Rattus norvegicus: one gene and its partners. The protein of the gene in region 3 purifies or fractionates together with the protein of the main gene of each other region. This does not show direct contact. Links are inferred from orthologs where the notes say so. Each region holds a gene or a part of one and is shown on either strand. Other genes may lie near its edges.

The links.
Region 1: the proteins of E2f1 (region 3) and Sirt1 purify together in Homo sapiens (affinity purification with western blotting; 3 studies listed by BioGRID and IntAct, with this or other methods). This does not show direct contact. The link is inferred for Rattus norvegicus from reciprocal best matches to the Homo sapiens genes E2F1 and SIRT1.
Region 2: the proteins of E2f1 (region 3) and Rbl2 purify together in Homo sapiens (affinity purification with western blotting; 3 studies listed by BioGRID and IntAct, with this or other methods). This does not show direct contact. The link is inferred for Rattus norvegicus from reciprocal best matches to the Homo sapiens genes E2F1 and RBL2.

What each region holds. Positions count from the first base shown.
Region 1 is NC_086038.1:25,302,312-25,309,977, reverse strand, and holds the start of Sirt1 (NAD-dependent protein deacetylase sirtuin-1), read right to left. Parts: upstream 4,026-7,666; 5' UTR 3,964-4,025; coding exon 3,552-3,963; intron 1,869-3,551; coding exon 1,752-1,868; intron 617-1,751; coding exon 375-616; intron 1-374. UniProt on the Homo sapiens protein: NAD-dependent protein deacetylase that links transcriptional regulation directly to intracellular energetics and participates in the coordination of several separated cellular functions such as cell cycle, response to DNA damage, metabolism, apoptosis and autophagy.
Region 2 is NC_086037.1:32,092,489-32,100,214, forward strand, and holds the start of Rbl2 (retinoblastoma-like protein 2), read right to left. Parts: upstream 3,924-7,726; 5' UTR 3,858-3,923; coding exon 3,627-3,857; intron 1,021-3,626; coding exon 890-1,020; intron 1-889. UniProt on the Homo sapiens protein: Key regulator of entry into cell division. Directly involved in heterochromatin formation by maintaining overall chromatin structure and, in particular, that of constitutive heterochromatin by stabilizing histone methylation.
Region 3 is NC_086021.1:163,531,256-163,538,839, reverse strand, and holds the start of E2f1 (transcription factor E2F1), read left to right. Parts: upstream 1-3,276; 5' UTR 3,277-3,429; coding exon 3,430-3,684; intron 3,685-7,584. UniProt on the Homo sapiens protein: Transcription activator that binds DNA cooperatively with DP proteins through the E2 recognition site, 5'-TTTC[CG]CGC-3' found in the promoter region of a number of genes whose products are involved in cell cycle regulation or in DNA replication.

The DNA of each region.
Region 1 (7,666 bases), on a different chromosome or scaffold from region 3:
GCCTCTGTGGGGTACCAGGCATACCATGCACATGTATGCATATAGGCAAAAATCAATCAATCAATTAATCTCTGTGTGTGTGTGTGTTTCTCCTCTTTCTCCTCCTCCTTTCTCCCCCTTCTCTCTCTCACACATGATCTTAAAACAAACAAAAAACCCCGTAATTCCACTTACCAATTGTACTATAAATATACAAAGATTTAAAGTTGTTAAACTTTTCAAAACACTGAACTAGTTTAGCAAATGCTGCTGTCCTCAGTTTTTATGAACAAAGACTACTACATCAAAAGCAAAGCAAACAAAAAAATTAACTGGAAAAGGAATAAAATATATACTAGCTTTTTCTCTTTACTGTTTTCATGTGTCTTACTTACCCCAGCTCCAGTCAGAACTATTATCTTTTTGCACTCTTGTAGTAACTTCACAGCATCTTCAATTGTATTAATATCTTTTCTTTTTTTCCGCTTTGGTGGTTCTGAAAGGATATTAATAACAATCTGCCACAGTGTCATATCATCCAACTCAGGTGGAGGAATTGTTTCTGGTAATAAATCTTTAAGAATTGTTCGAGGATCGGTGCCAATCATGAGGTGTTGCTGAACAAAAGTATATGGACCTATATTAAGGGAAGAAAGAGTCCCGTCATCCCCTTCTAATGGAAGTGCTCTATATTTTCAACCAATGAGGTAGCAATCGATACATTTATATGCAAAGAATATAATTTAAAGATATTTCCTGTCATATCCCTAACTAATCTGACTAATCCAGAGTTTGGGGAGGAAGTGCTTAGGTATAAGGGTTTTTTTGCTTGGTTAGTTGGTTTGGTTTGAGACAGGGTTTCTCTGCATAGCCCTGGCTGTCCTGGAACTTGCTCTGTAGATCGGGCTGGCCTAGAATTCAAGAGATTCTCCTGCCTCTGCTTCCTGAGTGCAGAGATTAAAAAGGTGCATGCCACCACTACCTGGACTGTCTAGGTATTTTGACTAAGCTTAGATGTTTTAAGTATTTTAAAGGTTAGGGGGACTTGGTGAGCTCAGGGATTAGCATACAGGAAGCCAAGAAAAAAAGAATCTTACCAATACCTTTGCAATTAAATCTAAATGGTAAAGTGGGTACAAAAGCAGCTGTGGGGGTGGTACCAAATAACTGTAATCCCCAGCATCTGTACACAAGCTCAGATATTCAAGGCCAATAAGTGCTGGCTACACATGTCAATGAGTTCAAGCCAGGCTAGGCTATAAGTGATCCTTTCTCAACAGGCAAGCAGACAACAGCCACAAACAAACAACCCCAAAGACTGGTACATGAAAGTATACAAGAAAAAAGACGGGAGGACTATCCTTTGCCACTGACAAAGGGACATGGTACAGCACACCTATAATCCCAGCACTCTGGGCTGCTGATAAAGTTAGGAATATCAGCTCAATGTCATCCTTTCATCCTAGACTCCATGAGTTTAAAGCCATTTTTACATGAAAATGTCAAAGAAATCAAGAAAGGAGAGAAAGAGAAGAAAAAGTGAAAAAGAGCCTTGGTACACTCCAAAGGCTGCTGCAAAAAAAAACAGCAGGGCAACTGAACTAGCCTGGGCTATAATAAAATACCTTGTCTCCGGAAGGAGGGAAGGAGGGAAGAAGGGAGGGAAGGAGGGAGGGAAAGAGGGAGGGAAGGAAGGAAGGAAGTAAGGAAGGAAGGAAGGAAGGAAGGAAGGAAGGGTGATTGTTTCAAAGGTGCACATGCCTAAAGCATACCTATCCGTGGCCTTGGAGTCCAGTCACTAGAGCTTGCGTGTGATGCTCTGTCATCGTCATCACTTTCACAGGAATGAAAGCCATTAGTGATGATCTCATCAGCCAACAGGAGGTTGTCTGTCAAAGAGATCAAAAAGCTGCTGCTCAGACAATCCCCAGCTGCTTGCTGTCCATACCTGCAATCCCAGGTACTTTGAGGCCGGTTTGGCTTATACAGTGAGACACAAGTTTTTGAGACAAAAACAAAACCCAGAAAGGCATAGACCCACACACATCTGTAATTCCAGCAACTGGAAGGCACAGACGTTGTAAACCAGCCTGACCTTACAAAATAGTTCCAGGACCAGCCTGGGCTAAACGGGGACCCTACCTCAAAATCCAAAACGAAGGCACACAACACAAAAATAAAATCTGTGGGGCTGGAGAGATGGCTCAGTGGTAAAGAGCACCCGACTACTCTTCCAGAGGTCCTGAGTTCAATTCCCAGCAACCACATGGTGGCTCACAACCATCTCTAAAGAGATCTGATGCCCTCTTCTGGTGTGTCTGAAGACAGCTACAGTGTACTTACATATAATAAATGAATACATCTTTAAAAAAAAAAAAAATAAAATAAAATAAAATCTGTGTAGCCCAACGGACGTATGCTTTCAAAACAGGCTCTGGGTTCCAGGACCAGGACAAAGAAATACACAACTTCATGAAATGCATCAAATAGAAATTACCTCTACATGTCAGAGATAAAAATCAATCTCTAGCTGTGTCCTCACTGCCCTACAGCTCTTTCTGTAGCCCTTCAAGTAGCAATCCTCCTGCTTCAGCCTCCCCGGTGTTGGCAAATTTATGCTTTAAAGAACATGGAACATACTTTATGCATCTCGTTTCCCCTCTAACAGCTGACAAGGACTACTTACTATTCCAGTCCCTAACATGCTGTTCTGTTTTTTAATTCATGGCCAGTGTGCCATTAGATGGTCCAAACATTTAGGAGGCAACTGACAGACTCCGATAAATTCTGGACAAAGCTTTTCAAGGAAAACAGTAAGTGATGTTATATAAAAAAGGCAAAACAAAAACAAACAAACTCCCCCAAACGTTTGGAGTCAATAGGGCAAAGCCAAGCAGGTTTGTTTCAGAATTGCAAATATGTAAGAAATACTTAATCTAAAAATGTTGTGAGGACATGATTTTCGAAGAAAAAAAAGCTCACGAAAGTACTGTACAACTATCACTCTTCTATACCGAAGTGATAAATGCAATCGCAGTAAAGTAATGGTTTTAGGAATAGCTCTTTCCTTACATTTTTAAGACTGTGCCTCACGAAACAGCTTTGGTCTATAAAAAAAATTTCTAATTTCAAAAGACAGGTCCATCAGACAAAAAAAAAAAAAAAAAAAAAAAAGCAACACAGGTGTCAGTATACAAACGCAATCGCAGGTCGATCCACGGGACAGTCCCAAAGTTGCAAACCAAAGTGTGCAACAAGGAAAAACACAACTTTAATAAAGGCGCTTCGGTAAACGAAGACGAGGGAGGGAAAAACTTAACTCTAACGACAACTGCGAGAGCCTGCTGCCCCGGCGACTGCGCGCAGCAGCGCAAGGCGGCCCAAGCGAGCGGCGAGTCCGCGCGCGGCTCCGCAGTAGGGCTGGCGAGCTCGGCGGCGCGCGGCCGAGCCAGGGCCGAGCTGCGCCGCCGCCGCGGAGCCCTCGCAGCTATCAGGGCCCCGGGCAGCCTGGGACCAGGTCACAGGCGGGGACGCGGAGGGACGCGGCTGCGCGGTCCCGCGCGCGGACTCACCTCGGTAGCCGATTGCTGCCGCCGCAGCCGCCGCCGCCTCGTCTTCCTCCTCGCCCTCGTCGTCGTCGAAGTCGTCGGCGGCCCTCGGCTCCCGCCGCAAGCCGGGCCCATTGTCTCCGTCCCCGGCCGCGGCTGTCGCCGGGGCCTCCCGCTCCGCGCTCGCCGCCGCCGCCCCTGCTGCCTCCCGCCACAGCGCCGCCGGGGCCGCGGCGCTCGCCGCCTCACACCCCGCGGCAGCCGCCGCGGCCGCCGCCGCCGCGCTCGGCTCGCCCGGGCTGCGCCCGAGGCCAGGCCCGTCTCGGCGCGGCCTCTTGCGGAGCGGTTCGTCAGCGGGCTGCGACGCGGCCTCCATGGCGGCCGCCGCGGAAGGGGAGCCGCCGGCCTGAAGGGCGAGCGCCGCCTCGTCCGCCATCTTCCAACTGCCTCTCTGGCCCTCCGCCCTCGCCTCCTCTGCTCCGCTCGACGCGCGGCACTGGCGCCCCCGCGGCTCGGCTGCGGGAGATTTAAACCCCGTCACGTGACCCGCCCCTCCCCGCCCCCGCGCCGCTCCCGCCACCCACGCGGGCCGGACCACAACACGCCGGGTCACGTGGCCGGGCGTCGCCCGCGGCCTGGGCCCTTCCCGGCCCCACCCAAGGCGGCCGGGCTCTCCTCGGCGGCCTCTCCGCGCCTCCGGCCCGCGGGGGATCGCCGCGGTGGCCCAAGTTTGCGAATGGCGCCGCCAGTTCCCACCTGGGCCTCACGCGTGCACCTTGCCTGCCTGCTTTCGCCTCAAGTCGGCTTTTACCTCGGGCTTTTCCAAGCCCGGAGAGGCAGAAAGGAGCCCAAGCGGGCCGACGCCGGCCTTCCTGAGGAGAATTCCTCCACCTGCCTTACGCTTGTTTTGTGACAGCTCTTTCTCAGTTTACCCCTGCGGTCTCCTCAGGAGATTGCGCTTCCTCCCGACCTTCTTATCCAGTGCAATGGAATGCCAAAGCCAGCCCTCGGGGCCTGTGCCCTCTGGAAAGATCTGGCAGTTGAGGATCCGCCCATCTGCTCTCTGGACCCACTAGGTCCTCAGCACCTCGCTTTTAGTCACTTGTAAAATTAATCTCTTGAATCAAGTAGAGCAGCAAGAGGTCAGGAGGGAGAGTAGTTGGTTCTTAACAAACTTCTGTCAAATTGGTCAAATTGGGCCTGGCTCTTGGCACTTGAGCAGTTGATTGAACCTCTTCTAAACCCATTTTTTAATCATCTCTAAAATGACAGGACCAGGACTGAGACTGTAGCTCAGTTGTAAAGTCACACTTGCCAGACAACCCTGAAGGCAGGAGGGTAAGAAGTCGAAGGCCGTCTTCAACTACATAAGAAATTCAAAAAGGGCCAGGAATACATAAGACGTCGTGTCAGAAATGAAATTTATAAGCGATAGACCATGAGAAATCAGCTAGCCAGGTGTAAAGTAAATGACACTAACTTTAAAAATCTTAGGCACTCTTGATGGCACAAGGTCTTTAAGCCCAGCGCTCTGGAGGAGACAGGAGGTTCTCTGACTAGTTCTAGAACAGCCAAGGCTACACAAACCCTGCCTCAAAAAACAAACAAACAAACAAACAAACAAACAAACAAAAACAGTTCTAGAATTGTAGAAATGGCTCTGTAGTTATTGGCACCTGTTGCTCCTACAGAGGCCCTAGGTTTGACTCCCACCATCCACATGACAACTTCAGATCTGATATGTCTTTTGGTAAACACAGCCAAAAAGCAAAACATAAAAATTCTTTTTGTTGTTGTTTTACAAGACAAGGTTTCTCTATAGCCCTGGCTGTTCAGCCTGGGGTCGAGCTCAGAGGCCACCTGCTTCTGCTTCCTGAACTGCTGGGATTAAAGACATACACCAGCAAGCCCAGCATAAAAATACATCTTTAAATAACTTTTTTAAAAAATCCTTAGTTCCTTCACAACTCTAAGCCCCTTTGCTCTCCAGTTATGAAGAAATTCTGAGCACCTATATCCATTTGGATCACTAGGACTCAGTTGCACATGGTTCAATTACCATGGACAGGTTTCCCCAAATCTTGACTTAGAGGCAGCAGGATCGGGAAATTGAGGCCATTTTCATTACGTAGTGAATTTGAGCCCACCCCATCTCAAAACACTAGCTAGACATAGTGGCACACAACTTTTCCAACAGCACTTTTACAACAGGAGCCTGGCATAACGATATACATCCTAGCACTTGGGGCAGAAGCAGTCAAGTCTAGGCAGCCTGGTCTATATATGAAGTTCAGGTTAGCCAGGGCTACGCAGGCCCTCTCTCAAAGACTGGCACATGCAATGCTCTTTCAGAGAACCCCAATTTGGTTCCCAGCACCCATCCCAGGAGGCTCACAGCCACCTGTAACTCCAGCTCCTGACTCTTCTGACCTCCAGGGGCACTGCCCTCATGTGCACACACAACTAATAAAAATCTTTAGGCCCAGATGGATGTGGTGGCACACACTTTCAACCTTAGTGCTCAGGAGGCAGAATGGAGATCTGAGGCCAGCATAGCTTACACAGCAAGTTCTAGGCCAGACAGAACTGTATAGTAAGACCCTGTCTCAAAAACAAACAGTAATATTAATCTTTAGGTTCCACGCGGTGGCACACACGTTTATCCCAGCACTATTAAGGCAGCAGCAGGTGGATCTCTAGGAGTTTGAGGCCAGGTTGTTTTACATATTTCTAGGCTACCAAGGACTAGATAGTCAAAGACCCTGTATCAAAAATAACAAAAATGGGTACACTGACTTGTGGGGAACAGCCCACGTGATGGAAAGCACACCATAGCATCATGCATGTATTGCTCATGCACGATGTACACACACACACACACACACACACACACACACACACACAACTTAAAACCTAATTGTAGAGTCTGGAAGTGTACATTAGATCCATGTCCAAACCCCATCACTGTGTAAGCCAAATGTCATGGTTCAGCCCCATAGTCCCAGCACTCAGAAGGTTGAAGTGGGAAGCCCAAAAGTTCAAGGTTAGGACTGAAGGGATGGCTCAGTGGTTAAGAGTACTGATTGCTCTTCCAGAGGTCCTGAGTTCAATTCCCAGCAACCACATGGTGGCTCACAACCATCTGTAATGGGATCCAACACCTTCTTCTGGTGTGTCTGAAGACAGCAACAGTGTACTCATATACATAAAATAAATCTTTAAAATAAAAGTTCAAGATTTTCAAGGCCATCCTCATCCTCAACTACATAGCAACTTTGAGTTATAACAAGAAAAACTCCCAGCACTATCTTCACTCATTGAAAACACTTACCTGAATCTTATCACACCCTGGGCCTTCGAGCTTACAAGTTCACATCTGTGTTTACAGCTCTTCCCCTGGAACAGGTCTAGCTGTTCTCACAGTCATTCTAACCATTAGTATGCTCTAAACTGAACTTTTTACATCACAGAACCCACTTTTCCTAACCAAAAGCTCTTCTTATAAAAGAGGATCTCCAAGCTACACAGTACATACAGGAGGCAGGAAACGTGTATAGTGCTGTGCCGTTTGAACATACATTAGGAGGGTTTTTACAAGCTAACCGTGAAAGCAAGTAGCACTTACTGTTTCTTGCATCCAACTTCCTAGAAGTTAGTGGTGCACCTATACGCCAAGAAGACGGGCAGGTTGTATCGTTCAGGTCAGCAGAATGGAGTAGTTCAGGAACCAGAGTCAAGAATTGGGGGACTGTACCCTTAGTACTGCATAGGAATGCACAAAGCTCTGTGTTCAATCCTAGCCACTCAGAAATCAGGCATGGTGGTACATGATCTGTAGGCCCAGTGCTTGGGAAGTGGAAGCAGGAAGATATAAAGTTGTATGTCCGTCCTGTCGTGCTGGCTAGATGTATGTCAACTTGACACAAGCTAGAGTCATTTTGGAAGAGGGAATCTCAGTTGAGGAAGTGCCCCCTTAAATCATCCTGTCAGCAAGTCTGATTGATGTGGAAAAACCGAGTTCACTGTGGATGATGCCACCCCTGGTCCTGGATGCTGTAAGAAAGCAGGGCGAACCAGACAGAGGTGGTGCATGCCTTTAATCCCAGCAAGGTTAGTCAGGAAGTTCACCTTTGGGTAAT
Region 2 (7,726 bases), on a different chromosome or scaffold from region 3:
AACAGAGACCGATTACTTCGAATTTTCCTTTAATAAAATAGTGCAGGTCTGGAGAGGGGCTCAGAGGCTAAGAACATTTGTTGCTCTTGGCAGAGGACTGAGGTTCTGTTCCAGCAGCCACACCGCAGCTCACAACCATCTGTAACTCCAGTTCCAGGAGATCCAATGCCTTCTGACCTCCACAGGCACCGGAACACATGTGGTACACACATATACATGCAAACATGCATACACATAAAAAACCATGAATTTTTGAATGTTGCCATAAGCATCTTGGTATGCACGATGTGTGTAGGAGTTTCTTTAGGATCAGAGAAGACGCAGGTCCAATTTTACTACACATTTCACATGCATTAAAACATAAGTTCTGGGCTGGAGAGATGGCTCAGCGGTTAAGAGGACCCGACTACTCTTCCAGAGGTCCTGAGTTCAATTCCCAGCAACCACATGGTGGCTCACAACCATCTGTAAAGAGATCTGATGCCCTCTTCTGGTGTGTCTGAAGACAGCTACAGTGTACTTATATATAATAAATGAATAAATCTTAAAAAAAATAAGTTCTATGCAGAATACCTAATAATTTATATTTATTTACCTTTTAAATCCATGGTATCTTCAAAAGCTTCTCGGTCTCTTTATTTAAACTTAAAGCAATATTAGGCAATAAGTTATAACCTTTAATGCATTACAACACGAATACACTCATGTTCGTACACTGCGATCCTGACTCCGAAATGGTAAAGGAAACCACAACTCAGTTTCTACACTCAGCTGTGTACATGTTAGATGCTCAGAAAATAGTAAACAGAGAGAATTTCCATTATCAGTGTGGTGTCTAAGCTTTCTTAATTTTAGCAGCATCCTACTTTTCAAGCTCTAACATAATTACCTTTGCTCAGAACATCGAAGGATTCTAGTTAAAGACACATAGTTTCCTTCAGCAGTCCCTTTGCTCACAGTAGGAACAGATTTTCTGCAAGCCACATATAAGGCACATGCTAACCAATGGAGATCATTTCCCTGAAAGAGAAAAAAGAGTTTTAGCTAATGACTTCCGTGTGCTTCAATGGAAAACTTCGTGCATTCATATCGAAAGTGATATTTCTATGACGGCCCTTGCCCACGGCCTCTTCTAGTATGTGACATTGACATTCGTCCATGCATGGTACTGTCTCTGTTCCTTTACCTTGAAGCAGGGCAGAGTCTTATGCCCCTGTACATGATGGTCTTTATTAATACCACAGGTAAAAGTGATGCTATACAATCTCAAAGGTCACAGAAGGGAATGCTGATACCGACTGCCTTCATCTTTGAGGATGTCATAAACCAGCATACAAAGCGTGTGCCTCCCTTCAACTGACATGCTGAGAGAGAATATGGCAGTGGCCAGTTCTACACAGAGAGATGCCCAAGGAACCCTACCATACTGACACCCTTGTGACACAGTGCTTCTGGGTGAGACAACAGTCATTTTGATGCAGACAACATAGCACCTCCTTTGCACTGCCTGAATTCCCAAACTGTAGCATGATATCTACCCCAGCTTTCAGCAAGGATGTTAGGATCTAGGCTCAGGTCCACATGCTTGCATGGTATGTCACCCATCAAGTCCTCTCTCCTCCACTTAAGCACAGCTCTGAGCAATGGTTTCATACGGTGTTTGGTTTGGAGGACAGTTTTGGTTTTTGGTTTTTGGTTTTGGTACTGATGGGTATTAGAACTCAAGGCCTTACCACCAGACACAGTCCGCTACAGCACACCCTCAACCCCATGTTGTCACGATTTCCCCAATTATATGATTTCAAGGGAAACTGAGCTTTTCAACTACTGAGTTTTATTTCCATCAAGATCTGTTAGGAAGAATACAGGTAAGCAGTTAAATTGTCATCTTTGTTCTAAAAAAGGGGGGGGGGGCTTAAGGGAGATGAGAGAACCTATAACTAAATCATCCCCTGAAAAGGAAAAAAAAAAGTCTTATACATGAGGATGCTACAATGCAAGAGATAGGGGCTCAGGAAATACTCCAAAGTGAACAGATATTCATGCCAGTATAAGGTTGTTCGAGATGCACTGTGATAAACACCACAGCTAAAAGCAACTTGGGGACGAAAGGTTTATTTAGTTTACAGGTTACAGTCAGGAACTCCAGGCAGGAACCTGGAGGCAAGAGCTGAACTACGCAATGCTGCCTTCTGTGTACAGCCCAGGACCATGAGGGGTAGCATAGCCCACAGTGGGCGACATCACTTAGCAACTAAGAACATGGCCACAGGCATGCCCGCTGTCAATCTGAGGGAGACGATTCCTCAGTGAGGTCTCCCTCTTCCCAAGTGTGTCAAATTGACAACTGAAGTTATCACAAGGGTAAACTGGGCTAAGAATCAAGATTAAAACCTCACTAAACAAGCCAAATTAAAAAAAAATAAATAATAAACAAACAAATAAATGGAAAGCCTTGGCCAAACAAGAACTAGTGAATATGTTCTCAAAAATAATTTACTAATCCAGCAGGTTGAGCAAGTAAAGGTGCTAGGTGACAAACTGCAGATCTGATGGACCCCCCAGGATCCACCGGGGACACACACACACACACACACACACACACACACACACACACATTTACTAGGCATCTGTTAAATGTCAGTTGCATATGCGACACCAGGCTTCATATTGACTTCGTTTCTGTGAATTGAAGCCTCTGCTATGTTATAGTGCTTATTCTTGCTAATTTACAGTGCCCTCTCTAAGGTGAAGTAAGAGTTCGTTTGGGGGTCTCTATGTCCTTCAAGCCCGAAATTCCCCTCTTTGCCTGGTTCCAGGGAACACTAAGTCAGGAGGAAGGCGACAGCCTCTTCAGCCAGACGGCTTCAGTATATGCAATTATCTGCACGCATACACACATTGCTTTAGTTAAGCTTTAGGTCAGCACTTTGAGGTGGGCACAAATAACAAAACTGCTTACACAACCAAACTGAGTTTCACTGTGGTTGCAAACTTGCCCAGAGTCACTCAGATCTGGGTCTGAAGATGTCCTATTTCTTTTTTTTGTGGGTGTTAACAAATGGAGAGAGGGAAATTCAATGTGTGACGGTTTTTAAAAAATAGAAATAAACCAACTCAGAAGAACGGCACAAGTCCAGCCATCGTATTATAGTTAAATAACATCTTGTTTAGCCTTCGGATCGGGGGCCTCTTTGCCCCTCTCTTTCAGAAGCTATATATAAAAGCAAAGGGCCATCCGCACAGGCAGCGATAAACAATCCGGACTTCCGTGTCACTTCCCATTGGCCCACACAGGGGAGGTGCCTGCAGAGTTGACAGACACTGGCCCAAAGAGCCATTTTCGTCAACTGCAAGCCCCGTCCCAAGAACGGAACATAACAAGCCTACACCTGGATGACAGCCAAAAAGAGTGCCCGTGCTCAGCAACAAATGTTGTGTGTCTACACCCGCTTTTCATTGCCGGGGTTGGGGGGCAACAATCCTAAGCCGTTCTCACACGGAAGCAAGCCGGAAACTTAATGCGTCTCCTAAGACGGCTGCACAGCAATGGTGCGGTGCAAACGACCAAGTGACCCCAGAGCCACCCCGAGTCCCCGACTTCCGCGGAGGATCTGAGCACGCACCTCCAGCGTGTAGCTCTCGCTCATGCTGCGGTAGCTGCTCCAGGCCTCGGCGCGTGCCGCCTCGTCCATGTTAAGGCGGCTGCACAGCTCTTCGAACCGCTGTTGGATCTGATGGCTTGGGGACCCTGCGGGCTGCGCCCGGTCCGCGGTGTCGCCATCCTCCTCCTCTTCCTCTGAGCTGGCTGCAGCAGCAGGAGGGGGAGGTGACGACTGGTTGCCTCCAGATGCCATGGCACACCCGGAGGCCGCGGCTCTTCAGATGAGCTTAGGGCCCGGGCCCACAGCCATTCAAACCGCGAAGCGCCGGCCCGTCAGCAGCCCGTAATGCTACTGTGCCGCCCCCAGAGTTTCTAGGTCCCATGTGGGCACCCGTAGGTCTGAGCATGGCCTGCTGGGAAATGTAGTCTTGGCCGGGCTATCAGGGGAACCAAAAGTCATGGAAGAAGAAAGCAAAAATGCGCTGTTCTTCATTTAGGAGCGAGTGAACGCGCCCTCTCCCATTTTTTTTAAAGCCTCTCTCAATAGTGAGGCCATTCATAAGGTTCTTTTGAAGAGAAAAGGACCAAAAAATATCGACAGGAGAAGCTTTAGTATACAAGCTCTTTACAACACTTCCTCCTCCTAGAGGAGGAAGCTAAAAGGTCCAAAATAAAGATAATAGTTTGGCTGCCTTTTCTAGTTCACGTTACTGTTGCTGAGATAAACACTGACTGTAACCAGCTCGGAGGGGAAAGGACTTATTTCATATTAGTCTTTACAGTCCATCATTGAGGGAGGCTAACACAGGACGCTGCTTACTGGATAGTTCCCTCTTGCTTGATCAGCTACTTTCCTAATAAAACCCCTAGCCTCCACCTCCGCGGCTGCCCACCTGCCTAGGCAAGACCCACAGACCAACCCAACAGAGAGGATTCCTCAAGTGAGACTCCTATGTCAATACTATCTATGGCCAAGGTATAGTGAGCTAAGATTGATCTCACTAACCAAACTAAAGCAAAACAAAGAAACCCTCAACCAAACAATCATGAATGCGTTTTCAAGAATAACTGAAGATTTATATTAGCCATCATATAACCGCTCCTAGGTGAGGCAGAGGGTAAAGTTTACTATAGATAAAAGGAAGAGTGCAGAGCAGGAATGTTTAGGTGAGTCCACAGAGGACAAGACCCTGAGCCACATGACGGGGGAAGGGGATGAGAGGGGGAGGAGAGGGGAGAGAGGGGAGAGAGGAGAGAGAGGGGAGAGAGGGGAGAGAGGGGAGAGAGGGGAGAGAGGGGAGAGAGGGGAATCCGGTGCAGTAGTCAGGAGGCCCGAAGGAACAAAGAGCTAGAAACTAAAATGTCTGGATGATATAGGGAAAAGCAGGAGGCTGGCAAGGGTAACAGGTGGAGGTTGAGGGTTACAGGGAGAACCCAGCAGCCAGGTTCTCTTTGAGATGTTAGTCACCTCAGCCATTTGTCCCAGGTCTGAAATTTAACAGCACCCAAGGGGCTCAGCATCAGTGTTTGTGACTTGAGGTGTTAAAGCTACTGAATCTCTAACTAAGCTTAGATGTGAGGTGAATCCCTAAGAATTTGTTCTTGGAAAAGAAACTTTATTGCATGGGCTTGCCGGTGGAGAAGAGAATCTAGCAGAGATGAGCACATTTGATTGACAAGGGCTGGGGAGATTCTCGGTGGCAAAACATCTCTCACCAGAGATCAACCCTTATAAGTCACATATGTGTGTGCATGCATGTGTGTGTGCGTGTGCGTGTGTGTGTGTGTGTGTGTGTGTGTGTAGGGAGGGTGTTTTTGTTTGTTTGTTTGTTTGTTTTTTTCCTGAGCTGGGGACCGAACCCCAACCCCTAGGGAGGGTGTTAGAAACCAGAAATCGTGGGTTGGCTTGTAACCTCAGCAGTGGCTTCCATATAAGCTGGTGGAGTCCTGGGGCAAGTCTCACTTGCTGGACAGTGAGAGACAGGATGTGAAAAAGAGGGGGGCCTGGGAGGTAACACGAGGCTATTCTATGGTCTCCAAACACATGTGCACAGACTTAAATATGTACACCAATGTATTCGAACACAGGCACAGGTGCACAAACAATACTGGTCAAAAGGATACTTACGTCTAGGTCACAAGGACATTGGATTTAAGTCATTATCCATTAGCTATTTCAACAATTTTATGAGCTGGAGAGACAGCTCCGTGGTTAAGGGCACTGGCTGCTCTTCCCAAAGACCTGAGTTTGAATCCAGCCAGCCATGTCACATGCACAGCCACCTGGAACCCCAGCCTCAAGGGTATTTATGCCTTCTTCTAGCCTCTGTGGCACCTGCACTAAATGTCCGCTTTCTGTCAGAATTAGCTATCCTGCCTCATGACTTTCAAATAATTACAGGATTTTACAGTTGTGCATATTGATATATATTAATTCCACCTAACAAGTATGATTCCTCCGTGCACGTGTATAGTCTGATCTTATTTACTTCCCAGAGTGCTCTAGTTCTCCTCTTCCCGTGTTCCTGCCAGCCTCTTCTCTCTCTCATGCATTTATTTATGTCATGACCCAGTGAGTTTCATTCGGGCTTTTCATAGGAGCAGGGGAGAGGGGCTATTTACAGGGACAGGAGAAACTTAGCAGTGGCTAAGCCATAGAAGAAAATGACCTTGGGGAGAGTAGTCTTGTGAACCCCTCACTCCTAGCAACCTTCACTGAAGGACCACGACTCCCCCGAAGGCTGCCTTCTGGTGAGCAGACCTATGGAGTAAGATGGCTCCTAGGCAGATTTTCCCAGGTGTTTGGGCTGCCTTAGTTCCCACAGCCCCTGCTCTTGCTGCTTCTTGCTCTCTGCCTTCCGCCCCTTCTTACAACCAACCCACTGGCACACTTGGTATAGTCTAGACTACAGGCCGTTAAGCTCCAGGTGACTTTCCCGCAGAAATAATGATCATTACTGTCCCTGCTCACACTTGTCTCCTGCACCAAGGCCCTCTTAGTCTGCGAGCAATGTCACAGTCTGACCTTTAACCTCCCGTGATCGCCTCCCTCCTCCAGATACGACTACAGCAACGCCGTGGACGGACCAGCAATGTGGAGAAGCTCCTTCCCTCTTCTGCTCTGGAGCAGTTTCAAAAGAAGTCTTAACGCCCCTGCCAAAGATTTCTCCGGGGGCTGCAGAGATGGCTCAGTGGTTAAGAGCACCAACTGCTCTTCCGGTTCAATCCCCAGTTCAATCCCTAGCAACCACAAAGTGGTTTATGACCATCTGTAATGGGTTCTGATGCTCTCACATATATAAAATAAATAAATTAATCTTTAATAAAAAATTTTACCTGAATATCCTGTTGTGGGGGGAAGTGTAGAGACAAAAAAAAAGGCCCCAATAATGGGACCAAAAAGAAAAACAAAAATTCTCCACCCTCTCTCAGTTGGGAGCTTGACCCAGTGACTCTCAAGGCCTCTCACAAGCAATGAGAACCTGAGGTGCTGCATCCCACATGGCTAGTCGCAGAGAGAATGAGTGACTATAAAGTGTATCTGTCTTCCTTAAAAGAATTATAAATTGATTTAGTTTATGCATATGGGTGTGTTGCCTGCATGTGTGTTTGTACACTGTATGTGTGCCTGGTACCCACAGAGGTCAAAGGAGGGTGTCAGATCCTCTGGGACTGGAATTACATGGGTACTATTTCTTTCTTCTTCTTCTTCTTCTTCTTCTTCTTCTTCTTCTTCTTCTTCTTCTTCTTCTTCTTCTTCTTCTCCTCCTTTTTTTTTTTTAAAAAGATCTATTTATTTATTATATATGAGTACACTGTAGCTGTCTTCAGATACACCAGAAGAGGGCATCAGATCTCTTTACAGATAGTTGTGAGCCACCATGTGGTTGCTGGGAATTGAACTCAGGACCTCTGGAAGAGCAGTCAGTGCTCTTAACCACTGAGCCATCTCTCCAGCTCCTTTCTTCTTCTTCTTAAAAAGAGTTGCTTTTGTGTGTGTGTGTGTGTGTGTGTGTGTGTGTCTGTCTGTCTGTCTGTCTGTCTGTCTATTTATCTGTGCATCTGTCTGTCTTATCTGTGTCTCTGTGTCTGTGTATGTGTGTGTCTGTCTATCTGTGTGTC
Region 3 (7,584 bases):
CTTGAATTCACAAAGATCCACCTGACTCTGCCTTTGGAGTGGGGGAATGAAAGGCGTGCGCCACCTCACCTGGCTTAAGTTCCCTCTGTATAATGGATATTACCATTTTTCACTCAGTGGCTCAGTGTCCTTGAATCTCTAGGCTGAAATGATTTTCCCACCCTGACCCCTGAATGCCTGTGACAGTAAGCATTTATAGGATATGAAGTTGAATATTTTGGAAGGGTAAGGCTTTGCAAAGCCCTTGGCCTTGGTGTCTCCAACTCTGGGTAACGTAGCCTTTTAACCTACTTGGAAAACTCAGTTCAATCGTTATAAAATGAGATAGTATTATGTTTCCCCCTCCAGCAACCATCTCGATCCTCAATACATAACAGATGCTCAGTAAGTGTTTGTTGAATGACTATGGAGTAACAGAAGGCTTTACGAAAGCGAGTGTCCTTGTTAATGGGTCCCTTAGGAGAGCCGGAGGACAGCAAACCCTACATCTGGCATGAGAATGTGCCAACCTCTCTCATTCTCCCGTAGTGTCAGTGTCAGGCTTGGTTACCCTGAAGGTTAGCCTTCGGCTTCTCTACTGTGCTGTGGAGGGTGGGCAGCACAGGCACGGGCACAGGCAGACCCAGGTCAGGGGACCTAGTGTGGGCCACATTCTGTCACTGAATTTGCAGGCACCAGCCCTGAATGGGCCTCCTTTTCCCATCTGTACAGCGAGAGGCTCATGTGCTCTCTGTGGTTCTTCCCTGTTCTGACACATTCCAGGATTTGCAATGAGTAATTTCACAAACTGTTCATGAGTGGGGGAAGGAAAGACACTCTCGCTGCTTTCCAAATCACCACAGAGTCTACAGAACACTTTCCAGTCCCTATGCTTCTATCCTCATGCAAACTTGAGACAGCCAAGGCAAGATCTAGGTGCCCATTTTATTTTTTTAAACACAAAACTGAACTGAAAAGCATCCTTGGGAGTTGCAGTTTGCTTGGTTTATAACAAGATCTCATGTGCCCTGACTGCCTATATGGCCAAGGATGACCTAGCACTCTCCTGGACTTCCTCTATCTACCTGACCTGCTGGGGTTGCAGGTGTGTGCAACTATACCCAGCTGTAGGAATTGTAAATTTCGGCTCCACTCCACATTTTCATTGTAAAGGTATACCAATTTGTTTTCAAAGATGAACACATTATCTGGGATGGGCATAAGTGTTCCTTGTGTTTCTTTGTTTACATTTTTATTTATTTCTTCTTCTTTTTATTTTATTTATTTTATTTTTTTCGGAACTGGGGACCGAACCCAAGGTCCCCACTGAGCTAAATCCCCAACCCCTTCTTCTTCTTTTTAAAAAATATTTTATTTATTTAATGTATATGAGTACACTGCAGTTGTCTTCAGATACACCAGAATCCGTTACAGATGGTTGTGAGCCACCACGTGGTTGCTGGGATTTGAACTCAGGACCTCTGGAAGAGCAGTCAGTGCGCTTAACCACTGAGCCATCTCTCCAGCCCCTATTTATTTATTCTTGCTGTATCACAGTCCATGTCCTGGGACTTAATCTCTTCCAATCTTGACCAAAAGACTCTAAACCGGAACTGGGGATAGTGATCCAAACATGCAGTCTTAGCACTCAGGAGGCCATGCAGGAAGGTTACATTGATTCAGTTTGAGCTACTACATAGCAAGATTCTATTATCTTAAAAAAAAAAAAAGGTGTGTGTGTGTGAATAAACCAAGCATAATGGCTAACTCGTTCAATCCCAGACTTGGGAGGCAGAAGCAGGCATACTTAAGCGTGTTCCAGGACAGCCAGAGCCAGACAATGAGACCATGCCTCGAAAAAACAAAGAAACAAACTACCCCCCCCAAAAAAAACAAAAAAAAAGGGGGGCGGGGGCGGCCTGGGATTGATTCTAAATTGACCAAGGTTGGGTGGTTCAAAGTTAACCGATGCGTGGAAGATAAAGTAGTATGAGGTGATAGTGAAAGTACCCGGGCTTGAGAGCTCCTTGTAGCCTACACTGGACTTGGGGACTTGAATATTGTCAGCTACTCTTTTCTTTTTTTTTTTTTTTTTGGTTTTTTTTTTTTTTTTTTTTTTTTTCCGGAGCTGGGGACCGAACCCAGGGCCTTGAGCTTCCTAGGTAAGGGCTCTACCACTGAGCTAAATCCCCAGCCCCTGTCAGCTACTCTTCTTGTGGTCATCCCCACCCGCAAGGGCAGGAAGTATGTAGGTCTTGTTAAACCTTTCGTGTTTCGATTCCCAGTATTGGCAAGATGCCTGTCAGAGAGGACCACAATGCTGATCAGATGGGCTGACCTGAGCAATCAGAAATGCTGATGGAGGACCTCAGGATTAAAGGATCCCTCCATATGCACCCTCCCCACCCCTGCACCGCCCTCTGTGAGGCCTAACGTGGAGTTACTTAGTTCAATCTCTTCACATTGTAAGCATCTGCTGCCTCTCGGTTCCCTTTTTTCCTTTTCACTAAGTCAGGAGTCAAGGTCTGGGTTGAGTATGGGACAATAAACAGGCTCTCAGGCGTTTGTGATTTTTTTGAGACAGGGTCTCACTGTGTAGTCCTGAATGGCCTGAACTTGGAAAATCCGCCCGCCTCTGCCTCCCAAGTGCTGGGATTAAAGACAGGTGCCATTGTGGACTGACCAAACGAATGAACGATAACTGGGCGTTGGCTACTAAAGGAATTTCAGTAAAATGAGACTGAGATCAAAGCCACACATCCCTACTCATTTCCTGGCACCCCTCTTGGGCTTGGCTTCTGGGTGACAGGGAAGAACCCATGATGTGAACTAATGGAATAAGTGGGTCTTAAGACCGGAGATGTGGCTGAAGTGAACTTTGGAGGTGAGCCTGAGCGTGCAGAAGAAGCAGTTTCTGGACTGTAAACTGAGGGGGTGGAGACCACAGGTTGAGAGTTTAGGGGCTCATGCGGCATGTGGAGACTGCGGGACGTGCAGAACCAAGTACGAAGTTTGTTGCCTTCGCCAGACCCCGCCACCCATCGAGTGGGCGGTGAAGGGGGCGGGGTCCATTGCCCACGCCCCCTGCAGGGCACAGCGAGAGGCAGAAGGGAGAAGGCGCCCGGCACCGCCCGGACAAAGCCTGCGCGCGCCCCGCCCCGCGATTGGCCACCCCGCCCCTGGTCCCACCCTCCGTCGCCTGCCCCGCACGCTGCAACCAATGTCTGCTACCGAAGCCGACTTCGTCACAGCCACGCAGGCCAATGGAGGAGGCGTTCGGCGGCGCGTGGCTCTTTCGCGGCAAAAAGGATTTGGCGCGTAAAAGTGGCCCGGACTTTGCAGGCAGCGGCGGCCGGGGCGGAGCGGGATCGAGCCCTCGCCGCGGCCTGCCGTCATGGGCCCGCGCCGCCGCCGCCGCCTGCCTCCCGGGCCACGCGGGCCGTGAGTGCCATGGCCGTAGCCCCCGCGGGCGGCCAGCACGCGCCGGCGCTGGAGGCCCTGCTCGGGGCGGGCGCGCTGCGGCTGCTCGACTCCTCGCAGATCGTCATCATCTCCACCGCGCCCGATGTCGGCGCCCCGCAGGTCCCCACCGGCCCCGCCGCGCCGCCCGCTGGCCCTCGAGATCCTGACGTGCTGCTCTTCGCAACGCCGCAGGCGCCCCGACCCGCGCCTAGTGCACCGCGCCCGGCTCTCGGCCGCCCGCCGGTACGGACCCTAGGCGCGGGCGGGGGAGGGGCGGGCTGCAGCGCTGGGCGGTGCGGAGTCTGGGCTGGGCCTCGGGGCTCCGCCCCGGGGCGCGCGCTGACTGACTGCCTTGCCCTGTCTGTTTGCTGCGCCTTGCTCTGGGCCTCAGCGTCTTCACCAGAGCGGCAGGTTTATTAATGATAATGGCTCACGTGTATTCAGCTGGTGCTTGCTTATTGCACGCCCAGGCTTTGGCACACTTGAAGTCGGCCAAAATTCTCAACTCTGTTGTGAGCTGGGTGTTGTCACGTGCCCATCTGCCAGAGGGAGGAACTGAGGCCCAGAGACAGGGAAGTGCTTCACGCAGCTGCAGATGGTGGGGCTGGTATTTGAACTGATGGCGGCTGGCTTGCTGCAGAACCTATGGCTAGTTAGTGCGCACAGTTGCTTGATGGAGATGAAAGAGGGTGACTGTTGGAGACATCCTCGAGAGACCCTCCTTCGTGGCTCTGCCAGGTGCAGGCCTGGCCTTCCAGGCCTCTGGGGATAGGCCTCTTGATTGGGAGGCCTTCTCTGCAGGGGCGGGGTGCTGGGCCAGCTGCTGCAACCCTTCCTCTGCCTGTCCTTCCATCTGCCACCCTTCCAGCCCCTGGTTGCCATGGAACTTTATTAATCAGGCGGACAGACCCCTGAGACTCTGGAAGACTGGGTGGGCTGGGCCCCTGAGAAGGGGCCTCCAGTTCCTGGAGAGAGAAGACGTGGGAGGGAGATCCCTGGATAAAGTCTTTTCCTGATCCTAAGTAGCAAGACCAGTTTAGGCTGGGGGCCTAGAAAAGGCAGCGGAAGTGGAGAGTGGAACTTGGATCTAAGCAGGGGCCAGCTCAGCCAGTGGGCCACCAACTTTATTGTAGGGGTGGAGCAAGCAGGAGGTGTTCACAGCAGGGGGCTTGGAGCAAGCGGGAGGGGCCAGACCCAATACCGGAGTAGAAACTGTTCAACTCCTGGTGGGGGTGCGGGTGGCAGCTGGTCCCAGAGGCATCTTAGAGAAGGCCCATACCCCCTTTGGCCCAGTGCCCAGTGCTGCCTTCCTTCCGGAATCACCAAGATGCTAATAACAATAACAATAGCAACCACCATTGTTTTGAGGACGTTTTGGGTGCCAGGCTCTGTGCTAAGCACTTTACCCACTTAACCCTGTGGACAGCCTTACTTTTTCATCCTTCCATAGATGAGGAGGCTGAAGCCCACAAATGATGGAACTTCTTAATCATTCTTCTAGGGAGTGGTATTTCCTGATTGTTAAAGCCCTTTCCTCCCACTGAGGAGGCCGGCCAGTATTTGGTGGGTCAGCTGGCTTGCCTTCCCTCCACTCCACGGGCCTGTACCAGTAGGTAGAAGGTTGGGCCCTGGGCAGATATTCTACATTTGACTAAACATTGCATTCACTCAAGTTGTGGAGTTCGTGAGTCCCCATTATGTGCTAGGTGCAGAGGTACTTAAGGATCCCCTTCCCCCACGGTACTTAAGGCCCAGCAAACATTTTCTGTGGGAGAGGTTGACACCATCCTGGAGCCAAAGGCCAGGAATGCAAATCTGGATTTTGGCCTCTACTGACTTTGCTCTGGAATTTGGGGTGGGGGGGCAGTCCTTGAAATAAGCTACAGGCTTGGCTTCCACCCAGTGAGCACTTGCTGGGTGCTTCCTGTGTACCTCTCTACACCTCTGCAATTCAGACATTCTTCCTGCCCTACCTACCTTTACCTTGTCTGTGTGTGTGTGTGTGTGTGTGTGTGTGTGTGTGTGTGTGTTTATAGATCCTATCGGGGTGTATTGACTAGGGAGAAGCAGAGACAGGAGAATCCACATGTTCAAGGCCAGCCAGGGTTACCTAGAGTGAAACTGTACCTTAAAGGAAGTTGGTCTGGAGAGATGGTTTAGCCATTGAAAGCACTTGCTATTCTATATGACAACTTAAGTTTGATCACAGCCCAACACTGAGGTCACAGATGACCAACTCCAGTTTCGAGGGGTTTGATATTGTCTTCTCCTGTCCTTGGGTACCCATGTTCATATATAGTCATACGGACACAAAGTTCTTTTTAAAAAGAAAACAATTTAAAAAGCAAATTAGTTAAATAAAAATAAATTAAAACACCAACAGCCTATTTTGGTTAACTGACATCTTATAATCCAAGCAGGCAAGAATGAGGATACTGAGTCTTGAGTTCAAAGCCAGCCTGCACTACAAAGACCCTGTTTCAAAATGGTAACAGCAAGAAGCTGATGTTTCCATTATAATGTAGTACTTGTTTACTGTGGACAGTATGTAGTACCATACATTAAGTCTGTAAAAGACAGGCTTGGGGTTGGGGATTTAGCTCAGTGGTAGAGCGCTTGCCTAGCAAGCACAAGGCCCTGGGTTTGGTCCCCAGCTCCGGAAAAAAAAAAAAAAAAAAAAAAAAAGACAGGCTTAGAGTAGAAAGCTAGCTCTTCTTCAGGGCTCTTGGTTTAGGTGTGACACTGTTACTCTATTATATGAATCTCTTGCTGGTCACTGTGAGCACTTAACTGCTGTTGGGGATTGGACCCAGAATGGAATGCACACCAAATAAGTACTCTGCCAGTCCCCAGTCTTCAGAACTTTTGTTTTTAATAGTTCTAAAAGTTGCTGTGAGCCACGTGTGATGGCACCTTTATAATTCCAGCACTTAAGAAGTAGAGGTATAAGGATCAGGAGTTCAAGGTTTTCCTGTGCCTGATCCATGTTCAAACAGTACGTCATTCACATTGCCCAGAGGAGGTAACAGTCTGCCCTGGCTCTCCCACAGAAGCGCGCCTGTTTCTGAAACACACTCTGTCAGAAACTGAACTGGAGCAGCTCCTGAGCTTTTAGTCCAGGAAGGGACCATATATGTATTAGCCTGTCAGAGTGGTTTCCTTGTGTGTCTGTGAGAGCATTCTGTGCTGGCCTGGACCTGTCTGGGTCTGTTACTGAGACCACATGCTGTTCCAGGGGCTACATACAGCCTTTGTGGATGGGTGTTTGAAGCACTCAGTTATCAATATCTTCACCTGTGGTTTTTAGGATCTCAGTGTTGTCTAAAGATGAGTGACAGAAACACCATCAATCTGAGCCCTACTTTAAGGATGACATTGGAGATGGGCAAGGGCATCTGGGGCTGTGTCAGCCCATTGGGGTGCATATACCTGGATTTCTTCCTGGCTACAGGTCTTCCAAGGTGGAGACTGCCATACCTCCTACAGTCAGACAAAAGTTTGCTGAGGAAATGTTTGGGATTTAGTCACCGCCCTGCTCTCGCACAGACAGCAGAGGCAGTGTCTGCCTTTTTCTCATCGTCTCACTCTCATGTGCTGTCCTTTTCCTTGGCTTCCAGGAGTTGGTGGCAGGATGATGGTGGGGAGTCTTGGCGGACACTGAGGCCTGTGGCAGACACTGATGCAGGGGTTTATTGGTCCAGTGTCCAATGAATGACCTTTCTCCGGTGGAGGCAGTGGGCAGGGACAACAGACACATCTGTAGAAGTTGTATTGGATGGAGGAAAAGGCCAGGTTTGAGGCAGTACCGAGAGAGGACAGCAATTGCTCTCTTAAGCAATCGTGCAGGAGCCAGCTTCAGGTGTGTGGAGAGGGCATAGAATAGCGTTAGAGCAGGGCTTGGGAGAAGCTCATCCCCACAGTTCATGTGAGGAGTGCTGTTGGAAGGCTTTACTGAGGCAGAGTGATGTAGAGGGAGACCAGCATGGGGACAGCTGTCCTGTCCGGTGGGAGGGTGATAATGGCTGTGGGTAGAATTCTTGGCAAAAGAACGTGACAGGTGGTGGGTCAGGTTGAGAGGGTTTAGTTGAGAAAGGCCCGTGACTGGTGAAGGATAGCAAGTCTGGTCCGGTTAGTGTGTTTTGA